3 linked regions of the Arabidopsis thaliana genome follow. The protein of the gene in region 3 interacts with the protein of the main gene of each other region in a pairwise test. Each region holds a gene or a part of one and is shown on either strand. Other genes may lie near its edges.

The links.
Region 1: the proteins of JMJ14 (region 3) and NAC052 interact in a two-hybrid assay, tested with the Arabidopsis thaliana proteins (one study listed by BioGRID).
Region 2: the proteins of JMJ14 (region 3) and NAC050 interact in binary tests that used the Arabidopsis thaliana proteins (3 or more experiments, as listed by UniProt).

What each region holds. Positions count from the first base shown.
Region 1 is NC_003074.8:3,265,851-3,272,440, forward strand, and holds NAC052 (NAC domain containing protein 52), read left to right. Parts: upstream 1-1,974; 5' UTR 1,975-2,082; intron 2,083-2,160; 5' UTR 2,161-2,224; coding exon 2,225-2,444; exon of another isoform or gene 2,445-2,869; coding exon 2,870-3,147; intron 3,148-3,227; coding exon 3,228-3,413; intron 3,414-4,043; coding exon of another isoform or gene 4,044-4,076; exon of another isoform or gene 4,077-4,086; coding exon 4,087-4,758; 3' UTR 4,759-5,352; downstream 5,353-6,590. Other genes in the region: NAC050 (NAC domain containing protein 50), read left to right, coding at 1-43, 155-200, 272-931; NAC053 (NAC domain containing protein 53), read left to right, coding at 5,868-6,033, 6,126-6,403, 6,482-6,590. UniProt on the Arabidopsis thaliana protein: Transcriptional repressor that binds to the motif 5'-(C/T)A(C/A)G-3' in the promoter of target genes. Also binds to the 5'-CTTGNNNNNCAAG-3' consensus sequence in chromatin.
Region 2 is NC_003074.8:3,261,933-3,267,590, forward strand, and holds NAC050 (NAC domain containing protein 50), read left to right. Parts: upstream 1-2,415; 5' UTR 2,416-2,477; coding exon 2,478-2,697; intron 2,698-2,887; coding exon 2,888-2,917; intron 2,918-2,998; coding exon 2,999-3,067; intron 3,068-3,171; coding exon 3,172-3,449; intron 3,450-3,540; coding exon 3,541-3,726; intron 3,727-3,869; coding exon 3,870-3,961; intron 3,962-4,072; coding exon 4,073-4,118; intron 4,119-4,189; coding exon 4,190-4,849; 3' UTR 4,850-5,158; downstream 5,159-5,658. UniProt on the Arabidopsis thaliana protein: Transcriptional repressor that binds to the motif 5'-(C/T)A(C/A)G-3' in the promoter of target genes. Also binds to the 5'-CTTGNNNNNCAAG-3' consensus sequence in chromatin.
Region 3 is NC_003075.7:11,006,556-11,014,934, reverse strand, and holds JMJ14 (JUMONJI 14), read right to left. Parts: upstream 6,378-8,379; 5' UTR 6,117-6,377; intron 5,979-6,116; 5' UTR 5,932-5,978; coding exon 5,890-5,931; intron 5,749-5,889; coding exon 5,677-5,748; intron 5,340-5,676; coding exon 5,262-5,339; intron 5,243-5,261; exon of another isoform or gene 5,183-5,242; coding exon of another isoform or gene 5,162-5,182; coding exon 4,655-5,161; intron 4,526-4,654; coding exon 4,301-4,525; intron 4,041-4,300; coding exon 3,879-4,040; intron 3,731-3,878; coding exon 3,362-3,730; intron 3,172-3,361; coding exon 2,355-3,171; intron 2,264-2,354; coding exon 2,160-2,263; intron 2,057-2,159; coding exon 1,859-2,056; intron 1,638-1,858; coding exon 1,347-1,637; 3' UTR 1,093-1,346; downstream 1-1,092. Other genes in the region: GSNAP (gamma-soluble NSF attachment protein), read left to right, coding at 41-119, 253-332, 452-581, 744-836; AT4G20390 (Uncharacterized protein family (UPF0497)), read right to left, coding at 7,066-7,323, 7,441-7,564, 7,656-7,867. UniProt on the Arabidopsis thaliana protein: Transcriptional repressor. Histone demethylase that demethylates 'Lys-4' (H3K4me) of histone H3 with a higher activity for H3K4me3 and H3K4me2 than H3K4me1. No activity on H3K9me3/2, H3K36me3/2 and H3K27me3/2.

The sequences.
Region 1 (6,590 bases), on a different chromosome or scaffold from region 3:
TTTGTAGAACTCAGCTCAACCTTACAGCTTTATCTAATGAAAGGTCTCTCTTGATTCACAAGATATCTAATTTTTCTTTATGGTCCTTTTTCTTTGAGATTTATCCTTTGATTACATGATATTTCAGACTTACAATCTTCGTTTGGCATTAAAGGTGCTCAACAAGAGAAATATTTATTGTGTTTTGGTTAATCTGCAAAGTCGATCAACGCGTTTTGGTTTGAGATATTTTATGTCTGTTGGGGTTCACATAACTTGTAATTTGTTGTAGGAAATGCATTCAGCAAGCAAGGATCTCATTAACATCAACGAGCTACCGAGAGATGCTACTCCAATGGACATCGAACCTAACCAACAGAATCATCATGAGAGTGCCTTCAAGCCACAGGAGAGTAACAACCATAGTGGTTATGAAGAAGATGAGGACACACTCAAACGCGAGCACGCAGAAGAAGATGAGCGTCCTCCTTCTCTATGCATTCTCAACAAAGAAGCTCCACTACCTCTCCTGCAATACAAACGTAGACGCCAAAACGAGTCCAACAACAACTCAAGCAGGAACACACAGGACCATTGTTCGTCCACAATAACAACCGTCGACAATACAACCACCTTAATCTCATCATCTGCTGCTGCTGCTACCAACACTGCCATCTCTGCATTGCTTGAGTTCTCACTTATGGGTATCTCCGACAAGAAAGAAAACCAGCAGAAAGAGGAAACTTCTCCTCCTAGTCCAATTGCATCTCCTGAAGAGAAGGTTAATGATCTCCAGAAGGAGGTTCACCAGATGTCTGTTGAAAGAGAAACTTTCAAGCTTGAGATGATGAGTGCAGAGGCTATGATCAGCATTCTCCAGTCAAGAATCGATGCGCTGCGTCAGGAGAACGAGGAACTTAAGAAGAAGAACGCCAGTGGACAAGCTAGTTAAACCACCGCAACATCTCTCCAGGTGTCTTCTTCTTCTTCTTCTTCTTCTTTGCCTCTTAGCTGTAATCTTCTTAATAGTATGAGCTATGGATGTAGCTTCTTCAGACGGATCAGAAACCTTATGAATCTCTGTTGTAAAATTAGGATAAAACGGAACGGAGCCAACCAACTAGGTCTTTTTATTTTATCCTTTTTTACTTTGGATGTTTCTGCATCTTTTGGGAACATTTTCAGGCTGATCCATTGTCGTATATTATCATCTATCTATCTAGTCTTTTCAGACAAGAACTCGCTTTTGTTTGGTTTCCTCTCAAGAAATGTTCAGTCTCCATAAAGAAAGCTTTTTCCTTGGGGTAATCATTAGTGGTCAGATATGAGGGCATAATCGTCATTGTCATTTGAAATGACCTTCTGGTCTTCCGGACAAGAACCACTCTGTTGCTTGATGTTTCTGTGTGACTGTCTCCACAGTCCACAGGGAAGAGAGCTTCTTAGGTAAAGTCGTGATTAGTGGAAATGATTGAGGGTATAATCGTCATTGACTAATTCAGCGTTACGATTTAGGAATGTGGTTCCGTCAACGACGTTAGAAGACTTTTGTTACACGTAATTTGCAATTATTTGTTTTTTCTCTAAAAGCGAAAAGCGCTTGGTACGATTCAAGCCTGGATTCCATCTCTCTCCCATTAAGTTTTCAAGAAGAAGTTTTGATCACAGACGTATTTTCGAAATGGTTTCATATCTTACTAGGCAATGGAATTTCGTAGGTGTTATAGAGTTTGGTGTTTATATTTTACTTTTAACTACATCGTCCTATTATACGGAACCTGTCTTTTTTTTTTCCACACGGAACCCTGAATGATTGTACTTTTTGGTAGGTTTGTTCTTTATTCGAGAGTTGTAAAAAAACATTATTTACTTTTAAGATGACTACGAAAGTGTAATTTACTAAATTACTTTTCATTATTTACTCCCAAGTATAATTTACTACAAAAAGCTACGCAGTAAAATTTTGCTAGGGTTTATTACTGCGACATAATGAAATGTAAATCGAAAATTGGTATCGCAATCCAAAATACTTTTTTGTTGCTCTCTACTAGCCTGCCTTTCTGGGAACGCGAAAAGAAAGACAAAATTTTCTTGCAATTGAAGGTACCTCAAATCTTGTGCTTATCTCTTTGGTTTCTTCTTCGTCAAACCATCTGCCCAACTTGTGTTTTTGTTCTTCAGGTGAGGTTTGGTGAAAGGGAAATTGAGAAAACCCTAGAACAAGTACGGTCTCTATTTTGCTTTAATGGGTCGCGAATCTGTGGCTGTTGTGACTGCGCCGCCCTCGGCGACTGCTCCGGGTACTGCTTCGGTGGCGACCTCGCTTGCTCCTGGCTTCCGATTTCATCCGACTGATGAGGAACTCGTGAGCTATTACTTGAAGAGGAAGGTTCTGGGCCAACCTGTACGCTTCGATGCGATTGGAGAGGTCGATATATACAAGCATGAGCCCTGGGATTTAGCAGGTTCGCTGGGTTTCACTTCCACTCTCTCTTGGTTTCTGTGCATCTCTTCCATTTGGGGGTTTTCTGTGAATTTGTTGCTTCTGATTTGGGATTTTTGTGGTCTGGGCTTCTCTCGCTTCTTCTGACTCAATTCTTGGAAAAAAGGTTTTACCTTTTTAGGTTCCGATTCATTTTTCTGGGAAATTTTGTTGCAGATTCTCTGTTGTTACATTTTGCTATGTTTAGGCTATAACACCGTGAAGGTAGTATTTCATCTAATCGACTTCTTAAGTGGTTCAAATATTCGTTTTTTCCAGATTCCGTTAGAATTTTATGCTTACTTGTGCTATAGTTTTGTTTGCTTGTGGTTCAGGAAATGTAAAAAGTTTGAAGTTTTGAGTTAAGTCTGGTTTTAAGTAATTTCTTAGTTGTGTTGTGTGTTTAAGTGTTTTCGAGATTGAAGACAAGGGACCAAGAATGGTACTTCTACAGTGCATTAGATAAGAAGTATGGAAACGGTGCTAGGATGAACCGAGCAACTAACAGAGGGTACTGGAAAGCTACTGGAAAAGACAGAGAAATCCGCCGTGACATTCTGCTTCTCGGTATGAAAAAGACACTTGTTTTCCACAGTGGGCGTGCACCAGACGGGCTTCGGACTAATTGGGTTATGCATGAGTATCGCCTTGTGGAATATGAAACCGAGAAAAACGGAAACCTGGTGGTACTGTATTGTCCAAATTACTTTCGAATTTGGTTTATCTGATAATTTCCAAAAGATCTCAATTCTTTGTTTGGGTGCAGCAAGATGCATATGTGTTGTGTAGAGTCTTCCACAAGAATAACATTGGGCCACCAAGTGGGAACAGATATGCTCCGTTCATGGAAGAGGAATGGGCTGATGATGAAGGAGCTCTGATTCCAGGAATAGACGTTAAGCTCAGGCTAGAGCCGCCGCCAGTAGCCAATGGAAACGACCAGATGGACCAGGTTTGTGATTTCTTCTTACTCTGGCTTCATTACCCAAACCTTATTAGTTTCATTCAATATTTCTTGTATGCAAAAAACTCTGTTGAAATACTCTCTTTCTTAGTTTTCCATTGGGCTGAGTGAGTTTATTTAACTGCATTAGTCTATTTATGAACCAATCTACTATTTCAACGTTATTTAGTGCAAATGTACAAATTTATCTGATGCATCATTTCTCTTGTTTCACAAGATATTATATTTATTATCTGCAAAACTCTGTGTTGAAGTGAAGCTTCTCCTAATAACTGTTTCAGCGGGCTGTGACGCTAGTAACTCCATTTAGTCTGTAACCAACTCTTGTAGAAATCAACCTTATAGGTTTATCTGATGAATCAACTCTCTTGATTTAGAAGATATCTGAATTTTCGGTGGTCTTTTTTTTTTTTGTTTCTTGGGCTTTATTCTTAATCATACTGATTACAAGATCGTTCAAACTTTGCATCCTCATTTGACCAGCAATTTTACTGTGCATCATATGAACTCACTTAATTGATCAGTAAATGTTGACCAGAAGTAGAATGATTTGTTGTTTTAGTGAAAATGCAGTTTTAATCCTTCATCAGCAAAATTGATTGAAGCATTTGGTTTCAGATAATTTATGCGTCGTCTGGGGTTCACTTGTAATTTGTTGTAGGAAATCCAGTCAGCCAGCAAGAGTCTCATCAACATCAATGAGCCACCGAGAGAGACAGCTCCACTGGATATCGAATCGGACCAACAGAATCATCATGAGAATGACCTCAAGCCGGAGGAGCATAACAACAATAATAATTATGATGAAAACGAGGAAACACTCAAACGCGAGCAGATGGAAGAAGAGGAGCGTCCTCCTCGACCTGTATGCGTTCTCAACAAAGAAGCTCCATTACCTCTTCTGCAATACAAACGTAGACGCCAAAGCGAGTCCAACAACAACTCAAGCAGGAACACACAGGACCATTGTTCGTCCACAACAACAACTGTCGACAATACAACCACTTTAATCTCATCATCTGCCGCTGCCACCAACACTGCCATCTCTGCATTGCTTGAGTTCTCACTCATGGGTATCTCCGACAAGAAAGAAAAGCCGCAGCAACCGCTACGTCCTCACAAGGAACCTTTGCCTCCTCAAACTCCACTTGCATCTCCTGAAGAGAAGGTTAATGATCTCCAGAAGGAGATTCACCAGATGTCTGTTGAAAGAGAAACTTTCAAGCTTGAAATGATGAGTGCAGAAGCTATGATCAGTATTCTCCAGTCAAGGATCGATGCGCTGCGTCAGGAGAACGAGGAACTCAAGAAGAACAATGCTAATGGACAATAAAGGCTCTAAAAACATCTCTCCAGGTTACTTCTTATTGCCCTTCGCCTTTTATTTAGCTTTAATCTCCCTAATACTATGACCCATCTACATAGCTCCTCTAGACAGATTGCGAACTGTGTGAATCTCTGTTGTAACATAGGATAAAACGGATTCGAGCCCCTGAGCTGAGTGTTTTATCCTTCTTCTTTTTTTGTGTGGATGTTCTTGCATCTTTTGAGAACATTTTTTAGGTTGCTCCATTGTCATATATCATCTATCTATCTAGTCTTTTCAGACAAAAACTATCTTTAAGTTGTCTCGAGAATGTTGTCTTCATAACACACTGAGCCTTCTCTGGGGTAGTAGTGGTTAGGTACGAGGGCATAATTGTCATTTCCTTTGCATTATCATTTAGATTTCCAGACAAGAAGAACTTTCTTTGTTTAAAATAATTGGGAATTATGTTCGGTCTCCGGTAATACCGTGGTTAATGGTAAGGATATTTTCGGCTAGGATTACGAATGTGGATGCGTCAGCGACGTTAGAAGACTTTCGTTACACGTAATTTGCAATAATTTTAAAAAAGCGAAAAAGTGTTTGGTACGATTTTTTCAACTTCAAATATATTCTCTATTTATTTACTCTATTCAAACAAAATTGCATATAGTATAGAATTTTAGTCATCTTGATATTTATTGAAGTGGATAAATCTTCATTTGCGCGAACCAACCAACTACCTCAACAAATTCTAGAGACTTTAAAATTGATGACTAGTGCAAGACTTCCACGTGTCAGTTTAATAAAGACTGTCACCCGAAAACAGTCACAGCCAGTCACATGATATGCTCTCGCGGCACACTTTCCTGGAATATTAAAACCTCACGGCGTGAAACTTCTTTCGCACATTTTCTAGCTACGGTCGCTTAGCTCCGATTGGTTCGTCGTCACCATCACTCGTCTTCAACGATTTGCTTCTTTTTTTTTTCTCTCTATTTAGTCCCATTTTCCTCAATTTCTAAACCCCTTATTTCGAAATCATTGTTTTGCTCTTTCTTTTGATTCGAATTCGACAGAACAGCTCTTTTAAGTTATTCATAAACCTTGTGTTTGAGTTTTGGTCCATCGAGTATATGGGTCGTGGCTCAGTAACATCGCTCGCTCCTGGGTTTCGTTTTCATCCCACAGACGAAGAACTCGTTCGTTACTATCTGAAACGAAAGATCTGCAATAAACCTTTTAAGTTCGATGCTATCTCTGTTACCGATGTATACAAATCTGAGCCTTGGGATCTCCCAGGTCAGTTCTTCAATATGTTGATGATTTGATCGATATTGTATAGGAACCGATGATAGAATTTGAATTCTGTTTTGTATTTTGGTGGGAAATAGACAAGTCGAGGCTGAAAAGTAGAGACTTGGAGTGGTACTTCTTCAGTATGCTTGATAAGAAGTATAGAAATGGATCAAAGACGAATCGTGCGACTGAGATGGGATATTGGAAGACTACAGGGAAAGATCGAGAGATTCTTAATGGTTCAAAAGTCGTTGGGATGAAGAAGACTCTTGTTTATCACAAAGGTCGAGCTCCTCGTGGCGAAAGAACCAATTGGGTTATGCATGAGTATCGGTTGGTTGATCAAGACCTTGATAAAACTGGTGTTCACCAAGTAAGACTTTGATCTTTTTGAGTTCCTTGTTGTTTAATGGGATTTGTGTTGTTGACTTTGTTGTGGAATTGTGGGAAGGATGCGTTTGTGCTTTGTAGGATTTTTCAGAAGAGTGGCTCCGGACCTAAAAATGGAGAGCAGTACGGTGCTCCGTTTGTTGAGGAGGAGTGGGAGGAGGAGGATGATA
Region 2 (5,658 bases), on a different chromosome or scaffold from region 3:
ATCCTTCTTTGTATATATTTAAATGAATCAACTAAAATACATAGAAATAAAAAATTTCTCTATACTATTATTTTCAGTTGATCCATTCAAATCATTTTCTAAAAACTTATGTCACGTTCATGTATACTTTTAGTTAAAGAATGTTTTTTTTTTTTTGGATTGGAAAAAAAAAAAGCTCAAACCTTTTAAGAAAATAAAGCTCATGAAAAGAGCGTGACGGGTCCAACTCTTTTTTTTGGTTAAATTTGCAATTTAAACAGATTACTTGTTCATGTTGACATTGAAATAGCAGGTCGAGAGCGAGAGATCAAAATGCAATGTATTATGCCCTTAATTTATGCTTTTATATATTTTGTTTATTAATGTCACATATCTTATTATGGATATACTTTGCAACGGATCACAAATCTTACCCTGAAATATGCAACCTGTTACCGGAATTGAAATTTCATAACACACTATTCTCAGCTCTTCAAGATTCAGTGTTTCATTCGTGAAGACGAATGCATGTTGTTCTAGTCTCGATACGAGAAACTGCGTTTATGAAAATAAGAAAAAGAAGAATAAATTAGCATGGGCTTGATTTACACCCGTCCGTCACCGAAATGGGCTACAAATAAATCATGGGCTTTTAATATTCTAACTTAGAAGAAATTTGGCCCATTGCTTAAACACGAGGCACAAACCATATATTTTTTTTGAGCCAAAAAAAAAAGTCTTGATATTTTAGCATTTTGTCCTTTTTGGAGACAGTGGTGTCAGATAGCTGACAACCTATATAAATAAATAAATAAAATAGAGTTTTCTTTTACTCTTACTTTCTTTATTAGTTTCATAATAATATGTGTAAAAGTAAGAGTTGGATATTTTTCGTTTTAATTTCTGCCTTCGAATTAGTTACGCATACAAAGCATAAGAGACAAGAGACATAGCGTACCAAAAAAGAAGAAAATAGTGCAAAAATATCATATAGTTTTCTGGTACGCCTCATCAATTCCACCCCCGTACACCATAATTATATAGAATTTCAATATCGAAATGTCGACAGCAACAAAATTCAACATGTCGAATAATATTGTTTTAAATATTCCATTTTACTAGAAGATGAAAAAAAGAGAGAAGAAAGTAACCTTTTGTCTTTGTCACCTTGACTTAAACAGTAATACAAACCCCACAAGTAAATTATTCAAGTTCAAATCGTAGTTAATGTTTATATTTGAGAATTGCAAATGGTTTAAACGAAAACCAAACTACGAATTACAAATTTGAAGAGGACTTGTACTAGAAAATAAATAGAGAAAAGAAGAATAATAAATAGTAACAGAAAATGGGAAAGATGATGATTCGTGTGGACCAAGTCTCTCCTCCCCTTTAGCTTGCCTTATTGGTAAAGTATCCTCCTGCAAGCAAACGTATCTGTCACTCCTTTTTTATTTTCTTTCACCTTCTATCTTATTCTCATTAATTCTTCTTTTTTGGTCAACTTCATGTATAGAAAATAATACCAAAATTTTTTGATATAGTAAAACTATTAGAACTGAATTTCAAACAAAAATAATACAAATTTAAGCAAAAAAATATTAAAAATAAATTTTAAAGAATATTTTTACATATAATAAATATACATAGTTGATACTTTTATATAATTATTAATTTATGATATTAATGAGACCATATATTTACATAGAACATTCAAAATAATTATTATCTTATTAATCTATCGATATATATCACTTTTTATACTAGTTTTTGGAATCTTAATAATTTATTAATTTGTAGAAGTTATTAATTTATAGAGGTTTTACTGTACATGTCAGCATTTAACTTTTGATAAGCACAAAACCATTACATATTTTCCAACCAGATTATTTTCTATTTATCCTAGCGTTTGTAAATCTTTGAACTACAATAATTTATCAAATACAATATAAGATTTTTATACTAAAGATGTATACAATGCATTTAACATTAAAGGAAACAAATAAACTCTAATCTTTTAAAAAAATACTTTACCTTTTAAAAAGAGTTATTAATCACATAAGCAATATTTAATTTTTCATTATTTTTTTCATCATCTGTCTAACATATTACTTTTTAAAAAATATTTATCGTTGGATACTTACTTTTCAGACCACACACTAGGACTAGTGGTTCCTTTATTTTACTGCATAGAACGACAACAAAAAGCTAAGCAGTAACATTTTTTAGGGTTTTATTACTGCAACACTCAAAAATGAGAAATTATTATTAAAATTGAAAATGAAAAATAGTAATCGCAATCCGAAATTACTTTTTTTCTAGCCTTCTAGGAACTCGAAAAGAAAGCAAATTTCTTGCAATTGAAGGTACCTGCTTCTCTTTTTCTGGTTTGTCTGGTTTCATATTAAAAAAAACATTTTGACAACTATATTTCTGGTTTGTCTGAAAAAATTGAGAAGAAAACCTAGAAACAAATACGGTCTTTTTTTTTTCTTTTTATGGGTCGCGAATCTCTGGCTGTTGTGTCCTCGCCGCCATCGGCGACTGCGCCCAGTACTGCTGTGTCGGCTACCTCGCTTGCTCCTGGCTTTCGATTTCATCCGACTGATGAGGAACTCGTGAGCTATTACTTGAAGAGGAAGGTTCTGGGTAAACCTGTACGCTTCGATGCGATTGGAGAGGTAGATATCTACAAGCATGAGCCCTGGGATTTAGCAGGTTCGTTAGGTTTCTTCTTCTTCATTTCTGCTTATCTCTATGATTTGGGGGTTTCTGTGAATTTGATGCTTCTGATTTGGGATTTTTGTCGCCTGGGCTTATTGGTTGTTCCGTCTTCTGGCTCAATTCTGGGAAATGAGTTTAGCTTTTACGTGCTCCGATTCGTTTTCTGGGAAATTTTTTGTTGCAGAGAAGATTCTCTGTTCGTACCTGGCGCTAAGTTTAGGCAATTAGGCTTTAACACTGTGAAGACATTCCATCCAATTGACTTCTTAACTGAAGAAAGTCGAATTTTCTTCAGATTGCTTTAAGAATTTCGTGTTTGCTTGTGCTACAGTTATGTTTGCTTGTGCTACAGTTATGTTTGCTTGTGGATCAGGAAATGAAGTTTGTTGCTTGTGTGTTTGGCTATCTGAAGTGTTCTCAAGTATGATCTGAAAGAAAAAAAACCTTGTGATGTGTTGTGTGTTTCAGTGTTTTCGAAGTTGAAAACTCGGGACCAAGAATGGTACTTCTTCAGTGCGTTAGATAAGAAGTACGGTAATGGTGCTAGGATGAATCGAGCAACTAACAAAGGGTACTGGAAAGCAACTGGAAAAGACAGAGAAATCCGCCGGGATATTCAGTTGCTCGGTATGAAAAAGACGCTTGTTTTCCACAGCGGGCGTGCTCCAGACGGCCTTCGGACTAATTGGGTCATGCACGAGTATCGCCTTGTGGAATATGAAACTGAAACTAACGGAAGCCTGCTGGTATTATGTTGTCCAAAAGAGTTACTTTTGAATTGGGGTTATCTCATTTTGTAAGAATCCTATCTTATCTTACTTCTTTGTCTGGGTGCAGCAGGATGCATATGTGTTGTGCAGAGTGTTTCACAAGAATAACATTGGGCCACCAAGTGGGAACAGATATGCGCCATTCATGGAAGAAGAATGGGCTGATGGTGGAGGAGCTCTGATTCCAGGAATAGACGTTAGGGTCAGGGTAGAGGCTCTACCACAAGCCAATGGAAACAACCAGATGGACCAGGTTTGTACTTTCTTTATACTCAAATGTTTCTTATATGCATAACCTCTGTGATACATCCCTCTAATGTGAATCATCTCTCTTGATTCACAAGATATTATATTTCTTATTGCAAAAGCTCTTTGCTTCTCTAAGTGCTGTTTCAGTGGGCTGATTTACTTAAACTGCACAATTCCATTAAGTTTGCTATCACCTTTTGTAGAACTCAGCTCAACCTTACAGCTTTATCTAATGAAAGGTCTCTCTTGATTCACAAGATATCTAATTTTTCTTTATGGTCCTTTTTCTTTGAGATTTATCCTTTGATTACATGATATTTCAGACTTACAATCTTCGTTTGGCATTAAAGGTGCTCAACAAGAGAAATATTTATTGTGTTTTGGTTAATCTGCAAAGTCGATCAACGCGTTTTGGTTTGAGATATTTTATGTCTGTTGGGGTTCACATAACTTGTAATTTGTTGTAGGAAATGCATTCAGCAAGCAAGGATCTCATTAACATCAACGAGCTACCGAGAGATGCTACTCCAATGGACATCGAACCTAACCAACAGAATCATCATGAGAGTGCCTTCAAGCCACAGGAGAGTAACAACCATAGTGGTTATGAAGAAGATGAGGACACACTCAAACGCGAGCACGCAGAAGAAGATGAGCGTCCTCCTTCTCTATGCATTCTCAACAAAGAAGCTCCACTACCTCTCCTGCAATACAAACGTAGACGCCAAAACGAGTCCAACAACAACTCAAGCAGGAACACACAGGACCATTGTTCGTCCACAATAACAACCGTCGACAATACAACCACCTTAATCTCATCATCTGCTGCTGCTGCTACCAACACTGCCATCTCTGCATTGCTTGAGTTCTCACTTATGGGTATCTCCGACAAGAAAGAAAACCAGCAGAAAGAGGAAACTTCTCCTCCTAGTCCAATTGCATCTCCTGAAGAGAAGGTTAATGATCTCCAGAAGGAGGTTCACCAGATGTCTGTTGAAAGAGAAACTTTCAAGCTTGAGATGATGAGTGCAGAGGCTATGATCAGCATTCTCCAGTCAAGAATCGATGCGCTGCGTCAGGAGAACGAGGAACTTAAGAAGAAGAACGCCAGTGGACAAGCTAGTTAAACCACCGCAACATCTCTCCAGGTGTCTTCTTCTTCTTCTTCTTCTTCTTTGCCTCTTAGCTGTAATCTTCTTAATAGTATGAGCTATGGATGTAGCTTCTTCAGACGGATCAGAAACCTTATGAATCTCTGTTGTAAAATTAGGATAAAACGGAACGGAGCCAACCAACTAGGTCTTTTTATTTTATCCTTTTTTACTTTGGATGTTTCTGCATCTTTTGGGAACATTTTCAGGCTGATCCATTGTCGTATATTATCATCTATCTATCTAGTCTTTTCAGACAAGAACTCGCTTTTGTTTGGTTTCCTCTCAAGAAATGTTCAGTCTCCATAAAGAAAGCTTTTTCCTTGGGGTAATCATTAGTGGTCAGATATGAGGGCATAATCGTCATTGTCATTTGAAATGACCTTCTGGTCTTCCGGACAAGAACCACTCTGTTGCTTGATGTTTCTGTGTGACTGTCTCCACAGTCCACAGGGAAGAGAGCTTCTTAGGTAAAGTCGTGATTAGTGGAAATGATTGAGGGTATAATCGTCATTGACTAATTCAGCGTTACGATTTAGGAATGTGGTTCCGTCAACGACGTTAGAAGACTTTTGTTACACGTAATTTGCAATTATTTGTTTTTTCTCTAAAAGCGAAAAGCGCTTGGTACGATTCAAGCCTGGATTCCATCTCTCTCCCATTAAGTTTTCAAGAAGAAGTTTTGATCACAGACGTATTTTCGAAATGGTTTCATATCTTACTAGGCAATGGAATTTCGTAGGTGTTATAGAGTTTGGTGTTTATATTTTACTTTTAACTACATC
Region 3 (8,379 bases):
TGATATAGTAATTGATTGGCACAAATATTAAAATTTGTAGGTTCACAGATGCTGCAACCTTTTTCTTAAGATTGGGTGTAGCTGCTGATAAGTGTGATGCGACAAATAGCCAGTGTAAGGTATGAGTATATGTGCTCCTAACCATCTCTGTTCGACCTTGCTGCTTTCTGCTTAGCTCAGACCGATTCCCTTGTATCTCTGAATGTTATTGTTATGACTTGTGATTTAACTGTTTTCTGAATGTTATTTCAGGCCTATCTCAGTGCAATCATCTTATATCTGTATGCTCACGACCTGCAGCAGGCAGAAAAATGCTACAATGACTGTTCTCAGTGAGTACACTTTTCTCTTTTTATATGGATCATATATGTTACTATGAACAAGAAAACATGAACTCTTTAGGAATTGTGATACCAAATTAGTGTCTGAATATTTTTCTTCTCATGGTTAGGATTGATGCCTTTCTGAAGAGTGATCAGAGCCGAAGTGCTAGTAGACTTCTCACCGCCTATAATGAAGGTGACATTGAAGAAATCAAGAAGGTGGCGAGTGCAAGCACTGTCTCGAATTTGGATCATATGGTAATTCACTTAAATGATCTGTCGAATCCTAATCCTAATTATGTCTTTCTGTGTTTCCGAATGTATTTGTTCTGCATTATGCTGGTTATTGTGACACCATATGATCACAGAATGTTTCATTAAACTACTGGAATCTTATACGGATAAGTATTTTGTCTGCAGATTATCAAGTTGGCTAGGAAGCTACCCACTGGAGATGTTACTGCAATTCAGATGAACACTAATGACGATCTAGACGAGGATGATCTCACTTAAAGTTTCTCCTCTTTGTACATATTCATATTTACACTTGGCTTCTTTTCAGTCCAAAGATTCAAAAAAAACATATTATCGTTTGTCCCAAGTACTGTGGGAAAGATTGATTATATAGGCTCTAAATTCGAATTTATGCATGTATTTTTCTTAAAACACGAGCAGCTAAAACTCTAAAGTATGTTATTTTATCTTGTTACAACAGCTCATACAGGTTGGTTCAATTTTGGATCTGGTTGTTGTTTGAAATCGTCTACTAATCATAAAAGCTGTTACAAATAAGCAAATGAAATATAGAGAACAATGGTACATTGCAAATGCAACACAGTATAATACAATCATTAATCCTAAACCCTTTTTTGGTAAAAAGGAAAGACATGTCAACGAAGTAACCCTTTTGTCTACTTTTGTATTGCCTCTCTAGATTTCTCTACTGATACAGTTTATAACCAAAGGAACAACAAACACAATCAACTTCAAAGGGTGTTAGTGTGTTTATCTGCTTGCTCCTCCTTAAGGACTTATCTCCATCTTATCAACCAAAGTAGAGAGCTCTTCCTTGAGCTCGGTGTTGCGAGTCTCACCACACAGAAGTCCATGCATCATTACTAATTCTTCAGGTGTCGCCTTCTTCAACAGTCCACGCAGAAGCCTTGTGTCCCGGTCCAAAGAGGGATCTGAAGCCCCTCCTTTCTCTGTATCATCCTTTTCTCCTTCCTTTATTGGTTCAGCACCAAACAGTTTCACTGCTTTTTGGTTCCAATACTCCTCCAATTGATGCTTTGGATCAAGAGCCTCAACCACCTGTGCACAATGGTCAACTTTCAGTCCAAAACGCTAAAAAGTACATATGGAAATTTGGTCATGTAGGCGAGTAAGAGAGATGCTCAAGGGGACTGAAACAGAAGATGGGAGCTTCTCTCATCCAGCAAAGTAGAAGAAAAAAAAAAAAAAAAAAACTTTCCACCGCAAGAAGATTCAGGATATCATAGTTTTATGGCTATGCATGAGAAATTGATTGTCACCTTAATTACGTGCGGGGAGAGAAATCCAAACATTTCAAGCCCATTTATACTCTCCAAAGGTTGTAAAGAGGTCAAAGAGCTAACTGGTTGATCACATTTCTTGATGATTTCGAGTTTGAGCCTTTGTGTCACCATTTGCCAGCACTTTTCAGCAGATACATTCGAGAAATTCTCAGTGGGGTAATCTTCTACTGAGACCTGGAAATAATACTGATTGATCAGTAACTTACCACCTTCATGTGTTCTGCATGATAAATAGATATTCAGTTATATTCTCGAAACCACTACGTAGTTAGTGTACCCTGAACAATGGACCAAGAAGCCCTGCATCCAGAACCTCTGAGATGTAGTTGGTTAGGTTTGTTGGGTCAAGCACACTTAAGAACTTAACACGGCTCTTGAACCCTGTAACATACAATCAAAAGCAAAAGTCTCAGAAGACATAAAAAATAAAATACTAAAGTATAAAGCTCATCCAAAATTCTCAATTCATCACCTTTTGGGTATATGGCCTGTTTACTGCACCACAGCTTTTTAACAACGAGAGATCCAGAACTCAAAAGCTCAACAGAGAGACTTAACCTATTGGTTGCAGCATTTTGGTCCTTCCCTCCTAAACAACCATCCACTTTCTTCGCCAGCTCGCTACACCCTACATCTGAAACTGAATGTGGGTTTTGAGATTCAACCGAAATCTTCTTCTCATCAAACTTACCTCCCACACCAAGTTTTACATCCGTGACAGCTGACTTATCAGTGATCCCATGTACATGATTTCTTTCGCTTTCATGACCATGGCGATTTACATCTGAATCACCATCTTGTTTCAACTGAACTTCCTTGTTTGAGGTTAGATCACTTTGTAAGCGTTCAGACACTAACTGAAGATTGTTTTGTTCTCGCTGCTGTACTTTTGATGAACCACGGCTCTTTATACATGGGGCAGACTTGAGGTAAGCATATTCTCTTGCTCTTGGATGCTGTGAAGGATACTGGTCACGACATTTACTTGCCCATAGGTCTATGGCATCAAGATCCCCTTCTAGAGCTCTGACCAGTGCCCATAACTCATCCAAGGTGTGGCGAATTAGGATATATCTATCCTTACTTTCACATGAACACAGATCCTTAGCGTGGATAAGACATGCAAACCGGTTGGGGGAACACTTGCAGCTTGAAGCAGACATATGCAAATCATAGAAGCACAAGAAGCACTCCCGTTCTCTCTTATTGTCGAAATCACCCTCCATCTTTCGCAAGCTAAAACCATCTTGAAGGTGATTTAGTCTTTCTTCTTCCATCTGCACACGCTTCTGCTAACCACAGCTATGTTAGTGCCATTGAAGATGTTTGTTTCAATCTTATCAAAAATCAGGTAGACTAGTACACTATTACTTCAGAGGATAGTTGTCAATCTATGAAATGTAACATATAGCCTATGCTTTTTTGAGTGTGTATTGTACATGCATGCACACAGAAAAAAGAACAGAGAACCAAAATTACCTTGACTGCCTTCGTAAGCAATCCATCCTCACTACAAACCCTTTTCCATCTCGCAATCACAGGAGTCTTCTTCTTTGAAAGTGAAAGCTCCCAGAGGCAATAAGTAGCTTCCATAGCAGCTCCAAGAAGCAGCTTGTCATGTGACAATGAACTCTTTCGCCGCTGCTTGCTATAGCCTTCCACTGCATTCTGTCCATGAACCAGCCAATCAACTGGTGCAACATTTACTGCTTCCGCACAGTTGAAACCACAATTAAACCCAGAATGATAGGCCTTAGGGAAGGTTAGAATGAATTCTCCACTGCGCTGGACAGCTCGATAGACAGGTACTCCCTCCTCTTTTAAGATTCTTGGAGATAACTGAGTGACCTGATAACAATAGGAGGTGCAGAGTGAGATACATATTATCTTAACCAAAAGACAGCTCTCGCCATATCATCTCCAAAATTACACACGTAAGGAGTTCTAATTAATCAGCAGAGCTTGAAATGAAAAACGAATTGGGAGAAACTTTCACCAGTTGATGTAGCAAGTCAGGCTGTTCTTCAAACAAATCTGGAAGACGCTTTTTCATTACATTTTCAAAAGACTCAGCATGGTTTCCAGGGATCCCATACCAAACTTTTGGATCACCTGTGTGTAAGTAGTTCATGGAATAAAGGTGATGATCTTCAACATGCTGTTTCAAACAAAGTAAGGGGGTAAATAGCAGATGGTTAGTACATAGCTCCTAGAAAGCACACAAAAAATGCATCAATTCCATAACTTTGGTCCCAAAGGCATGACATCCTTTAAGTAATAAAATTTTGATTCAATAACAGGTTTTAATAGAACTCCATCAGCTTTTTTTCAGCAACATATAATTTCCAGGAAATATCAAAAGATTATTCATGCGATTCAGTAATTAGCAAGAGTCTACCCTAAGAAAATGAAACTTACCCAACAAAAAGTTGAAAAGCACATTCCAACATAAAGCCATGGCACAATGACTCCTGAGATATCGCAGCTCTCAAAAGCTAGAACTGATCCGGGCAGACGGGACAAATTATTTAGGTTCCAACCACATTGAGAGTATTGATCTGCTTCACTTATAGGATACCCCGGTTTATACTTTGGGAAACCACTTCCAAATTTCTTTGTTTCCAAGTCAGCTCCATAGTACACCTGTCATAGGACCAAAAACAAGAGTAGCAAGTTCGAAGAACATCAAATTCAAATAAATGCAAAAGAAAATGGTGAAACCAAGAAAGACACAAATAGTTGATATGTCATTATATTGCTGCATGTACATACCTCTACTTCATCAGTTGCCTGCTCCACTATCCGCCAATATTCACCTTCAAGGTCCTTAACCTTAGGTTTAAATTTCTTATTTTCAGACGCTTTGGAACCAGGATGATCCTCTGACTGAAAATAGCATTCCTTAAAGTATTCATCATACTTCTGAAATTCTTCCAGGGTAAAATCTGGCCCAGTCTGAAAACCAAATTTTCCTTCACTATCACTAGAGCCAGAGGAAGCCGTATCACAGCCTGAATCTCTTTTTCTTCTTGTGTATCCAATTTTAGAGATTCTTCTCCGTTTTCTCTTCTTGGTTTTAGTAGATTTTTTAATCGGTTCTCGGTTTTGAAGCAAGTCAATGAACTGAATCCGGGTGGGAAATTTAGAATTCTCCCATATTTTTTTCTCCTTCAGAGGGCAAGGGGGCCTCCATGCAACAGGCGGCACAATTCGACATATGCCATATGATTCTGCTTTAGAGCGCAACTTCTCTATGTAACCAAGTGGATCATCAAAATCCTGACCATGAAGCAGTATCATAAGGATCAAAATTTTCAGATAAGATAACAATTTAACTACCAAGACAGAACCAAAATTGCAACTCGAGTATTTTAAATACCTCATTAGTGGGATAAAAGATGGGAGCGTCATCAACCAAAGGCCTGCAAGCTTCTGATGGATTCCACCTAGCAGTTATCTTCAAATACGCAACAAAACGATATCATTCATGAATCAGATTCATCTGCTCTTGGACAATCAGATAGCTAACACAACAAACAATCTAATAAGATCCAGATGAGATTGCTAAATTCTTAAGACCCAAGTAAATAGATTTTGCTTAATCTAAAACAAATACAATAAGAACGACTCTCAGAAAGATGAGATCTTTGAAGGAAGATACTGATAAGCAAAAGCCACGAACTTAATTAAAACTAGAATTGATTGGATTTTCAGACTCAAACGGGTTTAGCACATAGATAAGCCATCAACCTCTTTACCCAACCAATACTTTGCTAGAAACCCAATTAACTTACTTTAGGACTAGAAGGAGTAGAGTCAGGTTCAAGACTACTCTCTCCTTTAATCGATTGTTTCTCAGAATCTTCCTGCAAGAAATAAACACAATTCCACATTCAGAAACTGCAACAGTGCTAATTGAATCTAGCAAACATGCAAATTAGAGGTTACAAATGGAGGAGAAAGCAAAAAACACAAATCAAAGAAGCAAAAGGATAAAGATGAGAAACCTCCATAGCCACAGACTCTGCTAGAGATGCAAGCTGATCCATTTACAGTGAGATTAAGTTCACAAAGATCGATACTTTTAACCCGTGACCTAAGGAAGAACAAAGATCTGTTAAATAAAAAACAAACCCTTACTTGATGAAATGCAGTGCCGTTTTCGAAACCCTAAAAAAACCCAGAACGCATATAGATTTGTGTCTGGAAATAGAGAGTGAGATGATAAGTGTACCTTCGTGAAGGGGCCAAGATTCGGAACAAAAGCTTTTCCCAAGATTGAATTTGACTCTCGAATTTTATTTGTAACGTATAGTATAAATCTAAAACCTTTTGGTTAAATATCTGTGAAAGAGGTTTTTTTTTTTCTTTCCTTCTTTGATGAGTTAAGAAAAAAAAAACTTAGAGAAGAATTTATTAGGTTAACGATTAAAGCAAGTAGATTTCTTGGAGTCCGATCTAAGAAAAGGGTTTAGAACATAAAAAGAAGAAGCCGCCAAATGTGATTTTGTTTTGTAATAAAATCTTCAATCCATTTATACCAAATAAAATTCAGTAGTTTTATAAACAGAAAATTAAAAAAAAAAAAAAACTGAATTAATCTTCAAATTAAGTAGTTTTGTTGATTTGTATATCTGAACTAAATTAAACAGTTATACTATTTACACTTCATTTTTACTAACCAAAAAGAAAAGGATTTCAATAGTTATGATTATTGATTCACATTTATTAGAGACAGTAGGATCATTATTTACAACACAAAAATTAAGTTGTATGGGAACTACAATGCGATAGAACTAATACTGATTTGTTTTTTAGTCGGTTGATATAATTCATTTTAATGTAAAAAACTAACAATTGATTAGAATTATATTTCCATAAATAGAAGAAGTAGTTGAGAAATAAAAGGTATAAATTATCTTGAATTGGTCTTATCTAATCATCTATTGTAGATTTTTCTCATTGTTTCAATGTACTATATACTTTGTGAATTTTTTTTTGTCATTTTAGAATTATATAAAAAGATAAGAGAGAAATGAAAACTTGAATACAAATGTGAAAGTGATAGAACAAAGGAGTGCATTACACAATTTGCTAGTGACTTGAGAGACAAACACACAAAGTAAGCCACAACATCTATAAAATGGTCACACACATGTTGCTGAATTTTTGGCCACGATGTTTTAGACGACGGAGGTTGTGGTGGCGGTGGTGGAGAAGTTTTTAGAATTGATTAAGAGGCGGGAAATAGAGACGGCGGACACGAGGAGCATTAGAATGACTCCGGCGAATGCTGCGATGATTGCTCCTGCGCCGTGATCACAGTAAGTGGTGAACCTGTCGCAGACTTTGTTCCACTTGGCGTGCTTGTTTCCGTTCTTCCCTAGCTCTGCCACGAACACCGCCGCGTTTGCAGCCGCAGATACTAGTGTTGCGTTTAGCTTTTTTTCCAACGTTTTTTTAGATTATCAAGAAACCGTTTAGCTTTTTTTCCAAACGTTCAAACTAATTCAATTGAAATCAAACCAGTAAATTGATTTGAAAACCAATGTTTATACCATGTCAAGAATGGCGATAGAGAGGAGACGAAGACCTTTGTACTCCAGTTTCCGGCTGAAAATCTGAACCACAATCATCAACAAGTTGTGGAAGCTCACCATTACATTAGCTATAACAAAGAACCTGTAAAACCAAGAATCAATGTTAATAACTCAAAAACATTTTGCTTTCAATATGTATCGAATCGATTTCGTATAGGGTTTTACTCGCTTACACAAAAGCCGGTGTGTGCTGAAACTTAGCGGTTAAAGTGGCTTTAATAGGAACAGTACCAATGGTGGCCACAACCAAGGTCTTTGTCTCTTTGTTTAGTGACATTACAATGGCTGCAGCTAAAGTAGCCATGAATGCAAATATTCTCAGCCCCAAGAGTAGTTTCCAGCTCTTTGTGGTACCACCAGCCACCACAATCTTCTCTCTGGCCATTGTTGATGCAGTGAGTGATCAAGAGAAAGTGATGAAACTTTGTGTCAGTGTTAAAGAGTATTTATATGGAAAGAGTTTGGTCTTGTTGAGAGGTTTTGTCGGATCATCTAACTTTAATGTTCTTGGAGGGTACTGACTGATTAGGTTATGGTTGTTGTGACAAGATTACTGCAAAATAGATTTCCAGATTTCAAGACTTGCTCTAAGACAAGTCTTATCTACCAAAGCTAAGACCAGTTCTTGTGACATGTAGCATATCTCATCCACGGAAGAGACAGATTTCAAACCCAAATCTTAATGATTGGTTGGTGTATCAGATTATATTCATACATACATTAACAATGCCACAAGGGCCGATGGAGTTTTAGAAGTCAACAAACAGAAGAGAAGGTCAAGTTCCATGGAGCAAAAGAATGCCAAATTATTCGAGCAAAAACCTTGTGTCTTCAACTTTGAATAAACCCCAATAATGCAGTAACAAGAGATTCTGATAAGCTTTTTCTCTTGGGTTA